Linked DNA regions of Danio rerio. The protein of the gene in region 2 interacts with the protein of the main gene of each other region in a pairwise test. Links are inferred from orthologs where the notes say so. Each region holds a gene or a part of one and is shown on either strand. Other genes may lie near its edges.

What was found.
Region 1: the proteins of lhx4 (region 2) and chchd2 interact in binary tests that used the Homo sapiens proteins (3 or more experiments, as listed by UniProt). The two-hybrid records come from large-scale screens. The link is inferred for Danio rerio from reciprocal best matches to the Homo sapiens genes LHX4 and CHCHD2.

What each region holds. Positions count from the first base shown.
Region 1 is NC_133190.1:6,040,924-6,045,520, forward strand, and holds the start of chchd2 (coiled-coil-helix-coiled-coil-helix domain-containing protein 2), read right to left. Parts: upstream 2,920-4,597; 5' UTR 2,825-2,919; coding exon 2,778-2,824; intron 1-2,777. UniProt on the Homo sapiens protein: Transcription factor. Binds to the oxygen responsive element of COX4I2 and activates its transcription under hypoxia conditions (4% oxygen), as well as normoxia conditions (20% oxygen).
Region 2 is NC_133183.1:16,230,538-16,234,369, forward strand, and holds part of lhx4 (LIM/homeobox protein Lhx4), read right to left. Parts: intron 327-3,832; coding exon 124-326; intron 1-123. UniProt on the Homo sapiens protein: May play a critical role in the development of respiratory control mechanisms and in the normal growth and maturation of the lung. Binds preferentially to methylated DNA.

The DNA.
Region 1 (4,597 bases), on a different chromosome or scaffold from region 2:
GGGTTGCACGATACTGGGGAAATGTGCCATATTGCTGTTGAGCATTGTGACAGCGATATTTCTTGTGATATAAAAACCTTCCTAGAGAAATGCTATTTTATTAACCCTTTTTTAATATAAATTTATGTAATGATATACACTCACTGGCCACTATATTAGGTACACCTGTCCAACTGCTTGTTATGCAAATTTCCAATCAGCCAATCACATGGCAGCAACTCAATGCATTTAGACATGTAGACACGGTCATGACGATCTGCTTCAGATCAAACCGAGTTTGTTGTTGTTGGTCCCAGATGGGCTGGTGTATTTCAGAAACTGCTGATCTACTAGGATTTTCACGCACAACTATCTCTAGGGTTTACAGAGAAAATATCTAGCGAGTAAAATCATATATTTTATTTGGGTCACATCCATAATGCATGTTGTTCTGAAAAATATAAACAGGTGTTTCAATATAATGTTAGCGTATACTCTCTATGCGAATTTAAGTTTTAAGTTTTTACTGCAAGTGTGACATCCATAACGCTGGAAAACAAATAACCGAAATATTGGCATTAATACAAATTTTCGAATTTAAACTTGCAGTTCTTAGAAAAGCTGAAGTTGTTAACCTGTGCTCAGATTCATTTTATATATATATATATATATATATATATATATATATATATATATATATATATATATATATATATATATAAAACTAATAAATGGAGATGTTGATTGGGTTCACTAAGATTTTAATATTGAGACTGATATTAGGCTGGAGCCACTTAAAAGCTTATTGAAAAATTATCACTATAATAGTATATGCGATATACACCTTTCACTCATTTGTAGCATTTTAAAGACTAAATGTTGATATATCGACACCTCTTATTTAGGCTTGATTATAATTAATTAATCTGAAAAATAAACTTATCTGTTTATTTGGAATGACTTTAAAACATGACTAATAAAATTATTATTTTTCTAGAGAAATTTTACATCATAAAAAAAATCGTTATCGCAATACTCAACAAGAATATCGCATACTTAACCAGTATTTTGCAGCCTTAGTTACAGAAATACAAATTTCCACATATCAGTAAACCATTTAACAGATTATTTTGTTTTTCTTGTTTAATGTTACAAAATCAAATAATACTTCAAAGTAGAGATCACTTTCTACACCTATTTGTTTTTCTGATTTAATGCTGTGAGCAATTCCATGCAAATGTCAACCTCGCCATGAAAAAAAATGTCATTTTCACCAAAATACGAAAAAGTTTTTTGTGTTTTAAAGCACTTTAGAAATACTCAGAAATATCCTTGTCAATGTTTTCAAACTATTATATTTGATTTAACAAAGTCACACAAGTGGCAATTTCACATCTGTCACAGCAACTCCATGCAAGTGTCACATCCATAACGCTGGAATAGCTTAACGGTGTAAAGAGGAAAAAAAATAACATAGATATTGGCAATAACACAAATTTTCAAATTTAAACTTGCAGTTCTAAACAACTAAAGTAGTTAACCTGTGCTCAGATTCATTTTATTTTTATATTAAAAAAACGAATAAATGGAGATGTTGATTAGGTTCATTAAGATTTTAATATTGAGATTGATATTAGCCTGGAGTCACTTAAAGCTTACTGCAAACTTAGTTAGAGAAATACAAATTTTCACATATCAGTAAACAATTTAACAGATATTTTGTTCCTGTTAACTTCCTCAGTTTTAAGGTTAAATAATCAAATAATACTTCAAAGTAGACATCATTTTCTACACCTATTTGTTTTTCTAATTAATCGCTGTGAGCAATTTCATGCAAATGTCAACCTCGCCATGAAAAAAATGACGTTTTCACCGAAATACGAAAAACCATTTCTAAGTTTGTGAGCAAGTATTTTACAGTACTTTACAAATTCTCAGAAATGTCTCTGTCAATGTTTTCAAACTATTATATTTGATTTACCAGTCACACAAGTGGCATTTTCACATCTGTCACATCCATAACGGAGAGATGTCACATCCATAACGATACTTTTTCCTCAAAAATGCAAAAATATAAAATACAATAATACCAAACATGTTTGTTTTATAGTGAGTCAACTCTAATCCTTTTTAATTAGCATTATTTCTTTTAGATTGTGCAATTTAATTCACAGAATTTATACAAAATATGTTGAAGACTATAAATTCATATACTTTTCTGGTCACATCCATAACACATCTTTATTTTCCTCATTTAAAATATAAAACATGTTTACAAATGTATATTTTTCAGCTCCCTTAACTCTGTGGTGAGTTGATTTGGATAATACAAACAGAAGTTTCAATATAATATTAACATACACTTTCTATGCGAATTTATGTTTTGAGTTTATACGTTACTGCAAATGTCACATCCATAACGCTGGAAATGCTCATATTCAAAACACAAAATTACACTGGAGAATGTTTTTATTTCATACGAAATGCTATATAAGACTTTTCAAGCAGTGAATATGTCTAATGTTATCACAATATGAAATATTTAAAATATTAAAAATACTCAAAAGTTGATGTAGATTCATCTTCAATACTCAACACGCACTTCTCCAATCACCACCACTATTCTTTATAATAATAACTAACACAACCAAAGGGGACTCAGACTTCAGAAACAATATATTGTCACTATAATGAGCCTAATGTTTATAAATGTTTGTTGAGTAAATGACACACGATTATTATAAATGATAACATGATAATACAGCACGTAGCTCATGATGCTCCTCTCTTTTACCCACCTTGGAGGACTCATCCTCGAAGTTCTGCTTCGGCTTCCTCTCGGCATGTTGATTTTTTTATATTTTAATAGTATTATTATAAGAAGAGTACTGTATTCTACAGTAACTTACTCGCTTTTTACGCTACTGACCTTCGCACTGCACTTACTATCCGGGGAACTCTTTCTAGCATCTTACATCATGCCGGCGAACTTCCGCTCATGCGCATGAGCCTTTTTTTTTCAATTACCGCCGTCTGCTGCGCAGGAGTGTGGAATTGCTCGAGTCGTCTAGTACTTTCCATTGAGTAAACAGGGGAGTTCAGAATTATACAAGTGAATTAACAACAAAAATTAATCATGTACATTAAGTATTTTTTCCAGCAGTTGGGATGTCTTAATAGCTTTAGTATAATGGCATTACAGAAGCAGGGAATCATACACATTTTTTAGATCGATGAAAAATAGTTCACAGTTTGGTACAGTCAGCATACATTTTGTTTTGTGAATGGGTTACTTTTCAAATAAAATACGTTTTTTTGTTATTTTTTCGATTTCCAAAAATCTAGAGTTGCAAGTTTTACCCTACTGAAAAAAACAGCTTAAACCAGCCTAGGCTGGTTTTAGCTGGTCGACCTGGCTGGTTTTAGAGGGGGTTTGGCCATTTCCATGCCGGTTTCCAGCCATTTCCAGCCTGGTCTTAGCTGGTCAGGCTGGTAGATGACCAGCTAAATCCAGCTTGACCAGCCTAGCCAGGCTGGGAGCCCAGCCAAAACCAGCTATAAGCCAGGCTGGTCATTTTCCAGCCTGACCAGCAAAGATCAGGCTGGGAATGACTGTAAACCAGCCTGGAAATGGCCAAAACCTCTCTAAAACCAGGCTGGTCAACCAGCTAACCAACCTAGGCTGGTTTAAGCTGGATTTTTCAGCAGGGTGTTGATAATTTTATTACACACTTCAAAAAGGAAACTTGGTTTGAAAACAATGGCAACTAAAAGGAATTGCTAAAGTGAAGGATCTGCATGAGGAGGGTATATACATGTCATACTCTGATTTAGTTCAATTCAATTCAATTCATCTTTATTTGTATAGCGCTTTTACAATGTAGATTGTGTCAAAGCAGCTTCACATAAATGGTCATAGTAACTGGAACAGTGTAGTTCAGGTTTTAGTGTTTAAGTTCAGTTCAGTTCAGTTTAGCTCAGTTCAGTGTGATTTAATAATTACAGAGAGTTCAAACACTGAAGAGCCAATTCATCGATGCGTAGCTCTACCAATCCTGAACCATGCGAGGCAGTGGCGACAGCGGAGAGGGAAAAAAAACTTCACCTGATGGGAGTGAAGAAAAAAAACCTTGAGAGAACCAGACTTAGTTGGGCACGACCATTTTAATTTCTCCGCTGGCCAAAAGTCTTGTGCAGAGCTTCATTCGCCGTGGTTGAGGCTGGAAGATGGCCTCAGCGAAGAGTTAGACACTGCATCAAGGACAAACTTAACGTGAACGACAACCCTGTATATGCTTATTTACAGTCACCACAGGATACTAGGACTGCTTCTACGTGTTACAAAATGATGCTCAATGAAAACTTAGAAGTATTAATTTGAGAATAATCTGAGGATCTAGGGATTGATATTGAGGAGAATGAGTGGCTGGACATCCTTTCCAATGTAGGTAAAAATATGAGAGAAGTTAGAGGAAAGTTCATTCAGTACAAAATAATACACACCACCCAGACTCTAGTATGGGACTAGCTGGAAATAATCAGTGTTGGAAATGCAATAAAGAAGAGGGCACTTATTTACACATGATCTGGGAATGTTGTCTAGTTTACCCATTCTAGT
Region 2 (3,832 bases):
TCTTTTTTATATGAATACTTCCTCAAATTATAACACAATCACGCTGATTATTAGAAGTTAGATAGCTTAGAATGCACAGCTGAAGAAGGCCTGATTTCCCCTGATCTGGAATCAGCAGCTCACCGTTCTGCTTGGCTGTTTCGTAGTCCTCTTTGCACACGAGTCTGCCGTCCTCCATGAGGTAGAACTCATCTCCAGTGGCCAACTGTCTGCTGCACATCACACATGCAAAACAGTGAAGATGGTACACAAAGTCCTGAGCTTTCCGGACCACCTGTGTAGGAGGAATCCCCTGCTGGCACGATGCACACTTTGTCCCGAAACGCCTGCAGACACACACATAAACAGAAAAACGCATCACTAAGATAAACTTACAATGGCAGCTTGTGCTCTGCAGCGTTTATTCATCTGTATTAAAGCCAGTAATACAAAGCTGATTATAGTTTGTTAATGTAAAGTGCATTAAGTTGCTAACGGTAACAGTTCACATTCATTTATTTATTTTCCTTCTGCTTAGTCCCCTTATTCAACAGGGATCGCCACAGCGGAATGAACCACCAACTTATCCAGCATATGTTTTACACAGCCGATGCCCTTCCAGCTGCAAGTTAACATGTTTGAACATATTCAAACTAACAGACTAACTGAAAGCAAGGCACATTTTGCAATGTTATTCTGTAATTTTCTCCCATTTGTCTTTTTTTATAACCTGGGAAATTTGGTTTCTTATTCTTTATGTTTGATTCTAGAAAATACAAACTTAAAAAAACTAATTAAATGTTGCAATTATTCTGAACTAATATTATTAATTCCTGTTGAATAATTGTTAATTGCTATTTCATACAAACAAATGTAGTTAACTATAAAGCTTATTGTAAAGTATCAACCCAGTTAATTGTAAGGATTAGGTGTCACCAACAATATTGAATGCTGCAGGAGTGTTGTTCATTGTTAGCTTGTGTTAACTACTGTAATTAACTATACCTTTAAGAAACAAAAAAATCTTGTGAAATGTCGGTCCCACTTTATTTAAGTGGCCTGAACTAATATGTACTTACACTGAAATTAATAAATCGATACAATGCATTTATTGTCTAAAGACAAGTTTTTACATTGTATGAATGATTGATTAAATGCACACATGTAACTACATCTGTAATTAATTTATGTAATTACACTGTTAATCAGTAATTACATCTTAAACCTACCTATACCACCAAACCTGTCTCTAACCTTACCCATATCCCACCTCAAGAGCACCAGTGTTCTCCAATATAAACACATTAATGTATGTATACATGTATAGATTGGGTACATACAGTAGTAGTTAAGGACACCTAATATAAAGTGGGACCAAAATGTCAACCAATTTAACTCAAATTTAAAGCAATTAGTCATGACAAGAAGTTTTATGGTAATTAACTTATCCAAGACAAAAAAAAGGCTTTTGCTGCTTATTAAAACACACTCTAAAAATAACTCTAAATGTCTGTTATTACTACATAGTAAAATACATGTTTGTAAGTTAAAAATTCTAAATTGCTGATTAGATTAAAACTTTTAAGTTGTCAGAATAATTTCATTACGTTTTCACAACGGGGAAATATTGATAATTACATCAACTGAAAATGCAGTTAATTTAAAGGTAAATATGTCTGTCAATTAGTTTGAAACTATATTTAAATTGTAGCAACCCAAAGAAATTGGGTGGATAACACTATTTTTCTACACAAATAGACTTCTGGATTTCAAAGCTCAAGTTTTAGGCAGACTGTTTGGCACAAAATACAATTTAAAGACAGATATCTGAGATTTATTTAATTATTAGATCAATTTTCTCACTGGAGTGTTGGCTACTCCTGGTAAATACAGTTGATGTTAGCAGTGCTTTACAATAATGCACAGTAATTTGAGGAGGACCTTGAAGGGCAAGTGAAGACAATTGGTGATTGTTCTACTTTGGAATTTAACTACAAGACGGAAACCATCATGGTTGGGGACATCAGAATGCTAAATGGAATGGATATGTCAAGGTGCTGTGCTCTGCTGATGGGCATATATATGTTGTGAATGTAAGCTACCTCTAGAAACTTCAATAATGTCTCAAGAACAATATTTTTCAGAGTAGATTTTGCTCTTTATTTTGCATTTTATGTTGTTTCGTATTTTTGAGTCCGCACACTGATGTTTTTTTGTTATTTTTCATAATGTTTATATGGACAGTGCACATTTGTTTTTGTAAAATACTGAAAAACTGTGGTATAAAATAAAAAAAATAAAAATACTGGAAAACAAAAATGTTGTTGTTGAATTTATTTCTTACATGCAACTAAATGAACAGCAAGTTTCAAAACATACAATAATTAAACAATTTCAGCTGCTTAATTTATTTGAGGTTCTAAACTTAAAAAACTTGTATGTATAACTATGGTAATTAAGTGAATTACACTTGATTTATTCTAAATTTAAATAAAAAATAGGTTGAGTAATGTTTCAAATGGAGTTTATTCTAAAAATAACCTGTTAAGTCAGTTTAACTTAAAATGTCTCATAATAATGTTAATTTGATTCAACAAAAAAAAATTACAATTTAAGATAATAATATAATTAAATGTTGTAAAAGTACTTTTCATTATTAGTTCAAAATAACTACTGTAGTTTTCTAATGATAACAAATGAATAAGAAATCAATTAAATTTAGATTTGTATCATTAACTAATTATTAAATGCTTTACAAATAATGTTCATAGATTGCAGTAACTGACTAACATATACTGTAAAAAAATACTGGTTGCCTTAATTTTTTATGTTGAATCAAATTAACCTTATGAGTCATTTGAACTTACATTACATCAAATTGGCTTAAAACAGCTTGCATAACCTAATAATAATAATAATAGTAATAATAATACTAAGTTAAAACATGATTAACTTAGCTTAAGTAAGTTAAAATGAACTAAACACATATATTATATATGATCATATATTTTTTTACAGTGCATGAAACCATATTGTAGTGTTACCAAAATTAATTTTGTGGTTTAAGCATTGTTATTATTAAATGTTGCAGCAATATTGCTAATTGTAAGCACACAATATTGTAACTAATTTAGCATTATGTTAATCAGTGAAAACTCTTTATTAAAGATTATGCACCATTTACTAAGATTAATAAATGCTATATAGCAATATAGATCACTGTTGGTTTAAATAGCTCATGTAGTAAACCAATGTTAAATGAACACAATTCCTTTTAGGGATTAAGCATTATTATCTACTTTAATTGTTATAAAAGTAGGGTTTACTGTTTGTTCATGCTAACTAACTCACTGTTTACCTAATCTTAACCCTGTGCCTTGTTGGCCTGACCATCATTCCGGGTTCTGTTGCAAATGTGACTATTTTATAAGCAATCAAACCAGTAATAAGTTAGCAAATCTGTGAATACTACGGCAGGCATCTTTGTTTGTGCTTGTCATGTGCCTGCAGTTGACAAACGGTCATGATCAATGTAGCAGAACCAGAGAGAGAGAGAGAGAGAGAGAGAGAGAGAGAGAGAGAGAGAGGAGAGAGAGAGAGAGAGAGAGAGAGAGAGAGAGAGAGAGAGAGAGAGAGAGAGAGACCACTCTAAACGCACAGAACGCCTCATAAAGCACTGAGTCAGAATAGGCTGTAAATCACAGTGTGAATACTGCTAAATAAACCCTCCTTTTACTTAACCAAGGTGAAGTTTTTGCAACATTAACGGGAAGGCGAGCCCCTCCGCCCCCTCGCCCGTTTCCTCCTCCATCCCCCTCCTTCCATCCGCAGCCTTAACATTAAAATCCCTCCT